Tamandua tetradactyla: one gene and its partner. The protein of the gene in region 2 purifies or fractionates together with the protein of the main gene of each other region. This does not show direct contact. Links are inferred from orthologs where the notes say so. Each region holds a gene or a part of one and is shown on either strand. Other genes may lie near its edges.

Region 1 (7,434 bases), on a different chromosome or scaffold from region 2:
CCTTACAGCATTCAAAAGTCCACCCATAAAGGGTTCCAAATACGATGTATTTTCACGTTTGTGAATATACTTGATTCCAAACTAAAAAATAGACTGAATTAGTCTCTTAGGGGAAGGCAATATTTGCAAATGAGTACGTGTCAGGGAAGCTTAAAAACTATTTTCTTTAACAGGTTTCTAAAAAGATTGAAGACTTTTTCATGAACTCTAAAACCATAGTACCAATTTCAGAGAAACCACCAAAAGAAATCAAAGCTTTTTCTTTTTTAATAAATGTTGCATTAGTTTTCCTCCATGAAGCAACATCCCTACCTTAACTTTAATACCTTTATCATGTGATAAGGAACAATTACATGCCATCCTGTCAACTAGTCTCAAGAAGAGAGCAGTTTTTATTAGACATTTACATGGCTGTGCAATTTGCTCCACCTAGAACTTCCCTGCAAGGAGAAGGCTCCTCCTTATCACACCCCATAGGACACTGCTGTAACCCTAACTCCCTCTCATCACTGAAGCCTGGAGAAAACTTGACAGGCACAAAACGGGAACTTGTGAGAACTTCAGAGCAGCTGTGTTCAGGTACAGCCAGAGACACTACTTTACGTAAAGTAACAGCTTAAGAATTGGCTAAAAAACAATTTTCATTTTGGGTGGGAAGTGGGAAGAGTAAAGAGATACAATAAAGGTAGCTATTAACATTTAAAGGGCATATAAATAAAGGTGCTTAAAATTACAACTCCAAAACAACCACAGGGTGTAAATTTTGATCCACAGATTGAAAGATGAGCAGTTATTATTCTCTATCTTTCTGCTAGTTGGTGACACTAGTGGGGGGGGCGGAAGTCTTGGATTAAATAGTATCCAAGTTAAAGTCATAACAAGTTCTAGGGTGGAATAACAAAACAAGAAACTGCTCTTTCATTGGATATTTTTTTGCATTGCTGCCATGCAAACTGTAAAATGTTTTGAATGTCCAATGCTCTTAAAGTGAAATACTGGAAACCAATTCAGTAAGTAATGCTAAAAGTCATTAATTAATTGGTCTCAATGAACTGCAGGGGCAACTTCCTGGTCCTGGAAGAAAGCTTTAAATGGTTGCTGGAAACCAAAGCTGAACACAGAATTACATACCCTGGTTTCTCTCTACGGGTACGTCAGACATTTTTTGCTTCTCAAAAGCAAAAAGAGAAGAAAAACTAATGTAAAAAAATTCTATGCAATAGTAAAGAAGTTATTAACTAGCTGGTGGTATTATTCCAATTCATTATTAAATGATACACAATTATCAAACAAAAGGCAAAAAACCTGTCCCTTTGTTGTACAGAATTAAGAACAAACTGGTAAGACTACTTAGTACAGCTGCCAAACTTTTCTTTAGCTTCTTTTCTTACAGACATGTTACATTTCGCAATAGCATCAACTTACCTTACATCCTCCGTTTAAGTACAAACTGAATTTGAGTTCCCCAACCTTGGTCCTAAAATATTATATCTTTAGCTTCTGAGTCTCGATACAAAGAAAGAAACTGAAAATTTTTCACTTTCCTGAAATGTCTATTTTATTTAAATATTTTTCAAAAAATATAAGCTAACCAATACTAATTTCATAACCATCCACTGAACAACTTCAAAAATGTGTGTGGGTAAGAAACATCTAACAAAAATACAAAAATGTGTGTGGGTAAGACACATCTAACAAAACATTTTTCTGTGCTTATGTCTATAAGGACTGATGTCTCTCCAAGAATTACTTACACAACTGCAAAAATTCTAAGCATAGAAGTGAGCTTGCTGAGAAAACGCTGCACACCCACAAACCTACACTCACATATAACAGGACTCTCAGAGATAGTATGACATCCGCTGTTAAGGAGAAAACAAACTTTTAGTTACGAAAGTAGCAAAGCGGGAATCTAGGTAGGAGGCGCCCTGGGTAGTAAACATCCCAGTCAGAGAACATAACAAGCAATTCAGAGCAACACATAAGTCCCTATGGGGCTCCATCTTGGACCGCTTAAGTCCCAACCCATATCCCTGTGTTTAGGAGGTGAAATGTGGCAAGAGGAAGAGAGAAAGGAAATCAGAGCAGAAGTGATGAAAGTGTTTTTCTTCTTCTCTACCCTCATCCCTGCTTTCCTGCAGGCTGGCCTCTCATCTGGGTCCCATACACATTAGAAGCCGTAAATCAATATCCCAACCATTTTCTGCTACCTAGCCTAAAGAACTGTATTTAACAGCCTCTCCTTTCCACCCACCTCCCCTATTCCTCCTGACTTTCATACCCTTCCAACAGCTATGCCTTTTGACTACTCAGCCCACCCCTGTTTAGTCTTCCTAAATTAAAATCACACTTAATTTTCTCAAATCCATACTTTCTCACTGATAACATGGCTGATAGCCTTTTTCTTAATTTGATCGACATGTCATGACTCTCATTTCCAAATATTTTACTCTATTTTTCCAGCCAATCTTAATGCCATGTTTTCACCTGATCAAGATTCCTACTCATCCCCACCTCCTACCTATCAACCCCTGTCTTTCCCAATGGCAAGCCCCTAACCTCGCTTTGAGAAGCTCTGAGCCTTAACCTAGTTAGTGTTCAGTATCTCACCCCTTTCTCCCAGTCGCCTCCATTCCAAGAGTCTTCCATTACCACTCCCTCAGGATTCAACTCCCCTCTCCTTGCCACGCCCTGGGCCCCCCGGGGCTACTTACCCCAAGTTCTCCCCACACTTCAGGCCTCTGGCTCCGCCTCTCCCCGCCCGCCCCCCGACCAAGGAAGGGGGCGGGAGAAAGGAGAGAAAAGGGGCGGCACTCCGCAATGTAAAGACGGCCTCCCATTAGGGCTCACCTCCGCCAATCATAACTTCCTTTTCTCTTATTGGCCGACTTTGGTTCATTCCCCACCCTCTTCCTCAGACAGGGCCCGGCCACCGCCTCAGCGCCCGAGTCTAACAGACTGGGAGGGGAGATCCTGGCCTGGGACACTGGGACAAGCCAGAGTTGAAAGGAAGACTCCTGTCAGACCATGGACTAACTAGTGTTAACAGGACTCACCGGCTAATAGCTCCGTCACCTCCCACCAGCCCGCGTTGGGTCCCACAAACTGTCTCCAGCTCCTTCTTTCCCCCCTCAGCGGTGCAGATACTTTCCTCTCGTCCGGCTAGGCGCGCTCGCCCCTCGCGAGAAGTCAGGGGGAAGGGCGAGATCCATAAGGGGTGGAGTTGAAAAGGGGCAGAGAGGCGGGACTCGGGAAAGGAAGAGGCTGGGTTTACTGTGAAAAGGGCTGGGGCGGGAAGCAGAGCTGTTGAGACACACGCGGGTCACAGGTGTTTGGCTGCGGAATGTAGGAGGGAAAAGAAGGAAAGGGAATTTCTCCTAGAGTGGTGGAGATCCAAAAGGTGAAGCAAATTCTCTAGGAAATGAAATTATCTCAAAAGAGCGCACTTTAAAAAACATATGTCGAATGTTTTATATATATATATATATATATATATATATATATGTATATGTCGAGACATACCTCGAAAAAGCTGTTTTTAAAAAAAATGCGAAGGGGGCACCGAGGCAGGTCTCAAAGAGGCGAGTAGTTGCACTTTTCACTTCGAGAACTATGGCTATGGCCCTGATCTCTGCTGTGTGTGTGTTTGACTGTATTGGGGACCGTCCCGGGAGGCGGGAGGTGCGGGGGTGGGGGGTGGAGGGCGCCTGGGGTAGCTAGGGTTCAACCGCAAAAACTGGAGACTTTTTGAAAAAAGTGCAGGTTGCTTCTACTATTCTCCAGAATCATCACTTCCTCAATGGCACAGTAATTTTTTAAATAGATAATTGATCATCAAAATGTAAAATTATTGTGCATTGGTAGACATTAGCAAGAAAGCAAAAATATACCCCACAGAATGAATGGCAAAGTAGTTTGACATACCCTTACCCTTGGGTGGATATATTGGCAAAAGCAATCCCTTTTCTATCATTTGCCAGCCCTATGGCCTTGGATGAGATGATTCTTTCAGCCTTTGTACCTTGGGGCTAGCAATCCCATTTTACTCACAGAGCTGTAATGATTAAGATAATGTATATGAAAACTGATTGGGGATAAAAAGGCAAGCTATATTTATTACTTAGAAAGTTTTTTTAAAAATACTTAACAGGCTCTAATTTGTGTAAGGCACTGTTACAGGCATAAGAATAGAAAGACCAAGTCCTTGCTCTGGTGGGATTTATTAGCCAATAAAGACAAATATTTCAAATACTGATGAGTGCTTCAGGGTTCTAGGATAATGAGAGAAAAAGCAACCAGGAGTGAGCGATTAGCTTTATATTTGGTATGGTGAGAAGGCCTCTTTGAGGAAGTAACATTTAAAACATTGAGGGGAAGCAAAAGCTGTATTCAAAATTCATCATAAATTATAAGGAGAGTTCACTCCAAATCTCTATGCAATCTCTGCTCCCTCAGGTAACTTCCTTTTGCAGCTTTATGTTACTCAGGTTCTTTAACTTCCTGTCTAGGATCTCCTCTATCCTCAGACTATCTGGGTGGTAAGAATGCAGGTGTTTTCTCCCAAATAGCAGTTAATTGTCATTATCTCTTTAGTTTTTCTTTCTTTTTAAATTGTGGGAACATATGTACAATATTAAATCTCCTCCTCCTAACTCCTCCCAAGCATTCCATTCAGTGGGATTAATCACATTCACAGTGTTGCAATATCCTCAGCACCATCCATTACTATAACCTTCCTTTTACCCCAAACAGAACTCTACACCATTTTGCATCAATTCCCCGTTGCCTCTACCCCACCCTCACCCCTGGAAACACGTACCCTACTTTCTGTCTCTGCAGACATTTGCATATTCTCTGATATTTTCTTTGTGGTTACTATGGGGCTTAAATTTAGCATTCTAAATCTATACTAATCTTGTTTCTTTTGATACTAATTTAACTCCAATAGCATACCTAAGTCATATTCTCGACCCCTCTGTTTTCCCATCTTTTCTTGTCACAAATTCCGTCTTCATGCATTATGAGTTTAAGATTACTCAGTTATCATTACATTTTATGCATTTGCCTTCTAGATCCAGTAGAAAATAAAAGTGGAATTGCAGAACAAAATACAATTGTAACTAGTATTTATATTTATCCATGTAATATCTTTACCAGAAATCTTTATTTCTTCATATGGCTTCAGTCAATTGTCTAGTGTCCTTTCTTTTCGGCCTAAAGAACTTCCTTTAGCATTTCTTGTAGGGTCAGTCTAGTGATAAAAATCCCTCAGATTTTGTCTATCTGGGAATGTCTTAACTACTTCCTCAATTTTGAAAGACAGTTTTGCTGGATGCAGAATTCTTGATGGGCAGTATTTTTGCTTTCAGCACTTTAAATGTGTATTCCCACTGCCTTTTTGTCTCAAGGCAAAAGTTTAATAAATCCACACTTAAACTTATTGAGGCTTCCTTGTATGAGATATGCTGCATCTCTCTAACAGCTTCCAGAATTTCCTCTTTTATCTTTGGTAATCAAACCTGGGTTCAATTCCCGAGCCATACACTCCCCCCCACACACACAAATATATATCTCTTTGCTATTCAACCATTTGATTATAAAATGGTAGGTGAATCTATTTGGGTTTTTCCTGTTTGGAGTCCATTGAGCATCTTTATCTTTTTTAAATTAAATTTATAGAGTTTCAACCATTGTTTCTCTGAATATTCTCTCTGCCCCTTTCTCACTTCTCCTTCTGGGATTCCCACAAGTGTATACTGGTACATTTGATGTTGTCCCACACGTTCTCAGACTCTGTTCACTTTTCTTCCATTCTTTCTTCTTTCTGCTCCTCAGAATGGATTATTTCAATAGTCTTATGGTCAGTTTCTCTGTTTCTTTCTTGTACCAGCTCCAACTGCTTTTTTTTTTTTTTAAGGACTGCCAAAATCTAATTTTATTGTTGCATTCTTTATAAATAAAAAAGTAACCATTATTTTCTTTTCCCACTTAGATCCAACTTCAATAACCAAATATTTCAGGAACTACTGAAAGACTTCAAGTACACTGTCTACAACGAATAGTTCATAATTGTATCCTTTCTATGCTTTTTTAACAATCGTCAACTCTGAGAACATGTTAAGTAAACTAACTTTATTTTTATAAATAAAAATTAATAACTTGAAACATCATGCACTTGCGACATTTATAATATCTAACTCCTTAACATAAGGTCAAACAGTCTTAGGCAAGCTGCCACCGAGAAATTTTTAATGTCCATAGTAATATAAAGGTATGGATCACATTCAGCTTTTAGTATATGAACATGCTAATTAATAAAAATTCAAAAAGTTAGAGTTAAGAACCAATATTCTTTGAAAAGCATCTTTATTTACTCCTGGCCAAACAAGTAAGTGGAAAAGCCATCATTATAAACCCATTTTTTTAGTGTCTTATCCTTAAAATTACTTGAGTACTTAGAACACAGAAAAACCAAATTTGAATGCATTTGCAATAGTTTAACAATTTACATGTTCCACGAAGTTATTTTAATGGAATGTCTCGAAACCAAAGCATAATTCATTGCAAACATAAGTCAGAAAAAGACCATAAACTTTTTTCATCACGTAGTTGTATATTCATCATCATGATCATTTCTTAGAACATTTGCATCAATTCAGAAAAAAAAATAAAAAGAAAACAGAAAAAAAACATACATACCATACCCCTTACCCCTCCCTTTCATTGATCACTAACATTTCAATCTACTAAATTTATTTTAACATTTGTTCCCCCTATTATTTATTTATTTTTAATCCATATGTTTTACTCATCTGTCCGTAAGGTAGAGAGAGGAAGCATCAGACACAAGGTTTTCACAATCACACAGTCACATTGGGAAAGCTATATCATTATACAATCATCTTTAAGAAACATGGCTAGTGGAACACAGCTCTACATTTTCAGGCAGTTCCCTCCAGCCTCTCTGTTATGCCTTAACTAAAAAGGAGATACCTATTTAATGCATAAGAATAGCTTCTTGACTCTATTTGGAATCTCTCAGCCATTGACATTTTATTTTGTCTCATTTCTCTCTTCCCCCTTTTGGTCAAAATGGTTTTCTCAATCCCTTGGTGCTGAGTCTCAGCTCATTCGAGCATTTCTGTCCCATGTTGCCAGGAAGAAGACCATAAACTTTTAATTTTTTTTATTTTTATTTTTTTTACATGGGCAGGCACCGGGAATCGAACCCGGGTCCTCTAGCATGGCAGGCAAGCATTCTTGCCTGCTGAGCCACCGTGACCCAGAATACCATAAACTTTTGAATGGCATATTATGACTCAAACAAAACTGATCATCACCTAGTAATACTCATAATATTTAGCACATGCAACAGATTGAGAAATTAAATTCTCTGCTATATACTTATAAGTATTTTGTCATACATAAGAAATG
Region 2 (8,006 bases):
CTCGTACTCCTTGATTCAATAAGGGAAATATCCTCCTTGATTTATTTTCACAAGTTATCTGAGGAAGAGACAAATGGGAGGCCTTGGAAAAATTCTGCGTTTTGTTTCTGGTTTGCTTTTTTACAAAAAGGGGGCCCAGCTGATGAAAACAAGTTATGAAATGACCTATGTTTGTGTAACTGGCTGGATTGCGTAACGCCCAGAGCCTGAGACCGTAATAGCCAAGTGAGCAGGCGGTGCGTGTATCTAGGACGTGTTTTCCTAGGAAAGCTAGGAGAGAGAAGACAACAACATCAAGAGAAAGAAAAAAAATAAATCAATCCAGGAGGGGGAGATGTCTGCACCTATCACGGCCAAAACAAAATCACCAACGATCAAACTTTGAGATTAAAACTATAACTGGAACAGGAAATATTTTTCATGCTTCGAGTTCCAGCCATATTCAAGAGCAGACGCTTTTGAGATGAGTTATCTAGCCCCTCCAAACGTCACTGGAACTCACGGACAGTATGTTACGATCGAACTTTATGAAGCTGGAGAGGAGAGGAAAGGAAAGCTCTGGGTTGAATAAACAACAATAAAACTCACCAGAAATATTGTTCCCCTCCCCCCGGAAAATAGAATGTTCCCTTCCCCAAGAAAAAACCAGGGTCTTACATGGATGAGTCTTCTGAGAAGCCATAGAGGAGGAAAGCTCAGCCACTCTCTGCCATGACAGTCTCCGGGTTGAGGAAGCAGAGGCACATAAAGTGATTACAGGTTTTATCTGGTATGTAATAAAGTTACCTTGAGCCTGAGATTGGGTGGAGTCACAGCACAGACTTGTGAAATAACAAACGCGTCTCAGGTCAGCTTTGCTCAAACTTGGAGAGGCGATGGAAAAACCCTCCACCCCCAGGATCAGGCGGGCAGACAAACTTGTCTAAAGTGGCAGCACTTTGCCAGTCCCTCTGCTCTGGAGGCAGCCTCGCTGGCTGCCTGGTGGAAGGGGCAGGCGTACAGGCGAGAACCCCGTGCGCTGGTTATTACTAATTGCAAAATCCTCATGTGTTACAGCATGCTAGGAATTGGCCAACAGCTGTTTTTTGCTTCAGTAATGAGGCCCCATTACACTGTGCCGGAGTGAGCTCTTTTCCTTCTTCCTAGCACTGGTTTCCTGTCTGATTTTCTTCCAAATCAGGGAATTGCCTCCACTCACATCCTGGGCTCCAAGCCCCAGTGACACAGATTACTCAGTTGGGGCACTGGTGTCCAGACTTGGCTTCCCACACAGGCCCCAGGCTCTGCAGCCAGGTGGCGGGAATGGAACATTTAAATGTTCACTGTCCTGGGAACGCAGCTAAAGCAACAGGGAAGAAATCAAAAGATCCCTCTGGTGAGGGGAAGAGGAGAGGGGCGTTCCGGGGGTCAGAGGGAAGGGGTACAAATGACTTCAAGTCACTGCCTAGTGACGTTTACATTCAGTTTTAAAAACGAAAACAAAAACACCAACATGGCTGGAAAGCAGATACAATGAATCACTTTTCAGATAAGATTTCCTATTCAAACCCTCGGTCCCTTATTAACGGTGCCCCCGGCTGCACTGTCAAATGTGCAGACTCCAAACTGGGCTCTCTATGTGGATGCTTATGGGGGCAGCAGAGGAGGTAGAGGGAAGAAAAGGAAGAGCCGTTCTGGGGACTCTCCAGGTACGGCAGGTAGCCTGGTTCAGGTCTCAACAAGAGCCATATTTCCACTTTATCCCCCAACCGGCTGCACCTCTCCATGGGACGACCCCACCCCTCCTGGCTGGCTCCAAGAGGTCAAGTCCACGGCCCTCCTGGAGTCGCTCCTCCTCTACCCAACTTGCCTAAGGCTATCATAGATCCTGCTCAAGGTGGGCTTCAGGTTGTCCTGGGGCTTGAAGACTGGCTGCCAACCCCACCCAGTAGGCACCCCACCGCCGCCACCACCGCCGCCGCCACCCCAGCAGCACTTTCTGGTATTTATAGACACGCAGAGGGCACACACAATCCCTCCAGCGCAAACCAGTCCGGCTGCTTTAGAAACAAGTTGTTTTCTTCTCCCAGGACTATCCGGGAGCCTAAGCGAGGTCTCTTTCCTTCACTTCTCTCTGGGCCTCTTGCCCAGAGAACCCCCAGATTCTCAAGGCATCCCTTCCGGAGGGGGGCCATATAGGGGATGGACTCAGGGACCCGCAAGCAGACACCGAGTCACTCAGGGCTGGCCTCCTCCTGCCTGACCTTCGCACCTGGTTCCCAGGGCTGCCACCCTCACCCCCGTCCTGGATTACTTGAAAAAACCCCACCTTTTTAGAAATAAGGCTGCTGGAGAAAGCGGGGAGTGGGGAGAGGGCTTTCCCATAGGACGGGCCCCTCGCTTACTGGAGGGGCATAGATTTCCCGATTTCCTTGTCTGTCCACCACGGGGAGCGCGGGGGAGTGGAGGCGGGGAGGTGGGGGGGTGGGGGTGGCGGCGGGGGAGTAGGGGTGGGGGTGGATGTTCCCCGGGACGGGAGTAACAGGCTCCTGGGAAGGGAACCTGCAATCGCAGAATAGGAGCTAAGCTGGATGCGATGGATAAAAATGGGGTTTTCAAGCCCTCTCCCCGCTCCGATTTAAAAAAATAATAATAATAAAAGTGGGAGAACTAGGTAGGATGAGAATCCCGAACTTGGAACGGCGGGCCGCAGGTATTTCTTCGCAAAGACAAGAAAAGGAAAAGAAAGAGAAAGAGGCAGAGGCGGCGAGAGGAGGGCGGGGGGTCCGCCCGCGCCGCCAGGTGCACCAGAGGCCGGCACCTACCTGCTGGCCGCCGCCGCTGGAGTACGACTCGGCGTGCGCAGGAGAGCCGCTGCTGCCCCGGGACGAGGTGTCAAAGTTCCCGGGATAATCCTGGAACATGATCCGCGGTGGGAGCCCGAGAGGAAACAGGGTGTTTGTCTTCCCCCGCCCTCGTCGCGGCCGCGCACTGGCTGCTGCGCGCTCCCTGGCTCGCCGGCCGCGCCCCGGGGTCTGGCCTGGGCGCTCACGCTTCTCCCCCGGGGCACCCGGCGCGGGCGCGGGCGCGGAGGGCGAGGCAGCGACCTCTGCGAGGCAGGACCCCCCGAGCGCCTCTCGCCCAACTTCTCTGCGGCCCTCGAAGCGCCACGGGACCAGCCGTCCACCCGGTTCCTCCCTCTAACCAGTCTGCGCGTCCGTCGGTCCCTCCCCTGCTCGCGCCCTCCCGCCCCCGCCGGGACCGACGTCCAAATCGAAAAGTGGGAATTAAAAAAGGATGGGAGCTCCTCGAGCCCTGCCTGCCGAGTGTGGGAGCCCCAGATTGTAGAGCGATCAAAAACTAAAAATAAAAATAAAAGAAAGAGAGCGAGAGAAAAGAAAGGCTGCCCTTGGTGGAGAAACTTCTATTTCCTCCTTTTCGAAAAGGGGCCCGACCATAAACTTCCTGTGGCTAGACCCGCCGCCTGCCTTTCGGGGCTGCCGGACACTTGGCCAGCAGGAGCAAAGCAGCCCGCGCGCGTCCCGGGCCCCTGGCGCGCCGGCGGCCACGCACGCCCGTGAACTTCAAGCCCAGCCCGCGGGCGGCGAGAGACGCGGGCCCGGCTCCAGCACCAGCTCCCGGAGACACCCGCACTGCTTCCCGGCGCCCGCGCCTCGCCCGTCGCCTCGCGGGCCCTGCCTCTGCCCGCCGGCGCCTCTCCCTCGCTCTCCCCGCCGAGCGCCGCTCGCTCGGAGCCCCTGCGCTCTGCCCGAGATGAGTCACTACAGTGGCACGAGTTCAACTCCACACTCTTTATTATCCAGCCCCCGTACCATGTGGATTCACTCACGTCAACCCGACTCCACCTTGCAGGGAGGAGCGCGCCCGGAAAGGCGGGAGGGGGAGGGGGAGGGGGAGGGAGGAGGACGCGGAGGAGGAAGGGAAGCGGGAGACGGCGGGCCGCTCGGACGCCAGCTGCCTGCCCCGGAGCAAGAGAGGAAGAAGGTGGCGGCGCCTCGGCCGCGAGTCCGCGGCGCGGTCCGGGGAAGCCGAGGCACCCGGGTCCTCTCCCCACCCTGTCCTCATCCCCTCCCCACCCCCAGGCCCAGAGCCCTTGGTCTCTTCCATTGGCGCACGTTGCCAAAGATGGTCATTTGCGTTAGAGGACGTGAGTGCGGGTTTCCTCGCTCTCGGGTGACGTGGAGGGAGAGGGATTCCCTCGCCCGCTCCCGAGCGCGCCGCTCCGGCTCCCCCCTCCGCCCGGGCCGGGGCTCGGGGCCGCCGCGCTGCGCCTGAAAACTGAATCACGGCCCTGAGGAGCGAGCGGGCGGGTTTCGGGAGGCGCCACCGCGAGGCCGGGAGCCGGGCGCGCACAGCCGCTGGCAGGGAGGGCGCGGCCGTGCGCGGTGGCCCGCGCCCTCCGCGGCGCCGCCCGGTGTCCCGGCGCCCTGGGCGGGCAGGCGACCCAGGCTACCCGCGCCGCCCTGCGGCCAGGCCTTGGGGCGCGGCGCCGCGGGCCGCCGGGGTCGGGCTGCCAGCTCTCTGCCCTTGGTGGCGGGCTGCCCACTGCTGCTTTTTTTCTTTTTTTCCTTTTTTTTTTGTCCCCCAGCGCTCGGGTTAATTTGTTAGGAGTAGCCTTGAAGCCGAAATTAACCTGTCAAGACATTCCGACCGCCCTCCATACCGGACAATTAGAACGCATCTAATAGGAGGAACTGGGCAAACTGCAGGTTGTTAATTAAAAAAAGCAGAGGAGGAGGGAGGCCGGCGAGAGGGTGTGTCCCCACACAGTCTTCAGCTGTTTGGAGCGAAGTTTGGGGCGCGGGTAGTCGGGACTCCTGGGTCTTCCCGCCTTGCTGGGCGGGGCGGGGGGAGGCGCAGCGTAAGAGCCCCGGCTTTGGAGTCTGAACGTCTGACTCTGCTATTTACGTGCTGTGAGACCTTGGACGAGTCCCCGAACCTCTCTGGGTCTCAGTTTCCCACTGTAAATCGAATACGTTGGGCCAGGTGACTTTCTAAGGCCCCTGTCAGCGCTGGAGCTTCCTCAGTCCTCTGCAGAGATGATGGCGTGTGAGCGCAGAAGCACGGTTCTAGGAGTGAAGGGACGTGGGTCCTGATCCAGCCTCTGCCTTAGCCTCGGTTTACCCGACTAAGTGGCGCCTTGTGCACGCCACAGGGTCCTTGAGAGGACCTTAACAGACTGTTAAACGCTCTGCGCTCTGACCCACCACAGTTCCGCCCTCAGTTTCTTGATCTGTAAAGTGGAGGTGTTGCTAAGAAAGAAAAATAGAGGCGGGAATTCGAAGCTTTCCCGGGGCTCTATATAAAGCGCAGGCGTTTCCGGGACGGCTGGCGGCATCTGGTCGCCTTAATGGCCCCAAGATACGGTAATCCCGAACAATACTCGGGGTCATTGTTTACAATTATAAAACACATTCTGTCCTGAGCTCCATCCCCAAGGACGCGCGCAGCGAGGCGAGGCCGTCCAAAGACTCCTCGCACCTCGGCCGCCGCGCTCCACCCGGGGTCCCCAGCTCGGCGGGCCCGGGTGTGGGTGGGGCGGGTGAACGCGTGGGTGCTGGGTGTTTCTTTTGTTTTGTTGTTTTTTAAATCCCTGCGTTCTGGCCTGCCTGGGTGTTTACGCGCCTTTCCCAGCAGGACTGAGTAAATGCAGGCCTTTGACGCAAGACGGATCAGCTCTGTCCTCAGCGGCAGCAGCAAAGCGCAGAAAACTCAGAGTGGGGGTGGGGATGAGTGCAAAAGAAGAAATCGTGATACGTTTTCCCCTCGTCTCTCCGCCCCCTCCCCGTGCCCAATGCCCCCAGGCGCGGGGAAGGCAGGCCACGAGGGCCTCCAGGCACCCTAGCGAGAGCTTGGGGGGCTGCGAGGGGAGGAGCGGCGGGTGCGCCCGGGGCCCTCCCCCGCGCAGCCGCGTGTCGGAGCGGCGGGAACAGACGCACTTTTGGTTTTAGTTTGAGCGGCAGCGGCAGCCCGGCCCTCCCCCACCCCGCGCTCGAAAATCCGGGTGCCTCTGGGTCTCTCCCACACGATCCTTCCAGTAACGCCGGGTGGGGAAAAGGAGGGGGGAAGGGGAGCGGGAGCGTCCACCGTGGCCTCCGCGGTCCCGGGCGCGCCCATGCCTCGGTAGGCGCCGCTGGGTGCAGGCGGGCGAGCGCATCCTCGCGCCCTCGCCCGCCCCCGCCTTGCCCGCACCCTCGGCCCTTTCCTTTCTTGTGGGTTCCCGTAAAGCCCAGCAGCCCCGAGACGTCTGCAGAGCATCATGGAATCTGTGCTGATGCAAGTAGGCAGCCATCTCCTTGGTGCACCCCCGGCCTGCCTCAGAGCGCTTTGATCCCGCCTTCCCCTGCTCCACAGCCTGCGCTGGCTCCCACCGCCCGCCGGGAGGTCTGCTATCCTCCCGCTGCGGTCCTCCGACGCGCAGAGCTGCGTCCTGCCCCTGTGGCAGGACTGACCGCGCGAACCAGTGGGTTCCTCAGCCGGACTGTCTATGCCAATCGGAGCATTTCGTCTGCAAGCCCTGCTTTCTGCGCCCTCCGACGGGAACCATTGCAGGATCGCCCGGTCAGAAAGAGGCCCTCGTGGAGGTCCCCCCCCCCCCCCCGCCGCCTGGAATAACAAGGAAGATAGAGCCCGACATTTATTGTGCATTCACCAAGAGGCAGACAGCACGTGGAATGTTGTAGAGGGATTGTCTGTTGTAGAGGGATTGTCTGATGTAGTGCTCACCCAGCCATGGGAGGTGGGCATCATTTCCCAGTTGCAGAGGGAGAAAGGGACATTAAGCAGCTTGTGCAGGGAAACTGGTTGTAGCAGGTTAGTGACCCAGTCGGAAGCCCAGCTGGGCCTCTCGGGCCCAGGCCATCCTCCTCTCACCCAGGACATGGAATGAATCCTCTGCCGCCTGCTGGGGTCTTTTCGTTTCTGTTTTATGGGTCTCCTGAAAGCATGGACTTCATCTGGTTCAGGGCTCGAGGTGCCCCTCTTAAATAAACAGTCCGGTACCATCGCTCAGTTCAAGAAGGGGGTGATGTCAAGCGAGGGAAGGGAAGGAGAGGAATGGGGGGCCACATGTGGTTTGGACCATCTTCTTGCCGCCTCGCTGGGTCTCCAGGACCAGCCGGCCACACTTTTGCCAGTTTCTTCATGTGTCCATCCAGCCCAAAGTTTGGTCCCCAAGAGTAACACCAGGAGATGACACAACTCCCAGTGTGGTGTGCGTCCGGCTCGCGGCTGCACTGGGCACACTTCTGAGTGCCACATGTTCATAAAGCCCCTTTACAGGGCATGGTCATACTTGTCCTCACCAGGACAGCCCTGCAAGGGATGTGGACAGCGGTCAGTGACTGCCAAAGAGGAGGGCAGGGGATGGCATGGCAAAGCCACTGACTGGGTTCTAGCCAGTGGGGGTCGGAGCCTGAACTGGAACTTAGCTTACCTGCCTCTAAATCCAGCCCTCTGCCCCTTACCTACACTCCAACCTCTCAAGGTTAGAAGACAATTCTGCATCTTGATTCCCTGTCCTCTATCTGTCATGCCTGACGGTGGCTGTCATCGGTTGTCTATAGTAACCGTACATTTTGGTCATGTCTTAGCATTTCTGAAAGCCAATGCGTCTTAACCAATGACTATTTAATAGAGAAGTGTTTCTGTCTGTCCACAGGTCTGCCAGGGCTCCATCAGGAAACTGGCTTCAACCCGGATGGGTCCAAGGAAAAAACCTGAATGGAGAAGCTCCTTGCAGAGATGTGGCGGGGTCCAGCCCTGGGGTTGAAAGGAAAAGGGAAGGGAACAGAAATCCTCCAGCCTACTGAGCACTGGGACCATGGGAGACAGGCTGTCCCCGGGGCGGGGGAGTGGGGCTGCCGCTGTGGAGAGCCAGAGACGCTGCTGAAGCAGGGAGGGAGGCAGGAGAAAATGCTGGACTTCTCCCCCAGGTCCTGCCAAAGCAGTCCTGCCTGCCGGGAGGGAAGGGACAACACACGGAAGGGTGGCTAGTGAAAGAGGGT

The links. The genes of interacting proteins can lie anywhere in the genome.
Region 1: the proteins of FOSL2 (region 2) and ATF7 purify together in Homo sapiens (affinity purification with mass spectrometry; 3 studies listed by BioGRID and IntAct, counting the BioPlex papers as one, with this or other methods). This does not show direct contact. The link is inferred for Tamandua tetradactyla from reciprocal best matches to the Homo sapiens genes FOSL2 and ATF7.

What each region holds. Positions count from the first base shown.
Region 1 is NC_135333.1:115,066,727-115,074,160, forward strand, and holds the start of ATF7 (cyclic AMP-dependent transcription factor ATF-7), read right to left. Parts: upstream 3,007-7,434; 5' UTR 2,841-3,006; coding exon 2,715-2,840; exon of another isoform or gene 2,650-2,714; coding exon of another isoform or gene 2,611-2,649; intron 1-2,610. UniProt on the Homo sapiens protein: Stress-responsive chromatin regulator that plays a role in various biological processes including innate immunological memory, adipocyte differentiation or telomerase regulation.
Region 2 is NC_135329.1:12,552,299-12,560,304, reverse strand, and holds the start of FOSL2 (fos-related antigen 2), read right to left. Parts: upstream 3,007-8,006; 5' UTR 2,904-3,006; coding exon 2,805-2,903; intron 2,450-2,804; exon of another isoform or gene 658-2,449; intron 1-657.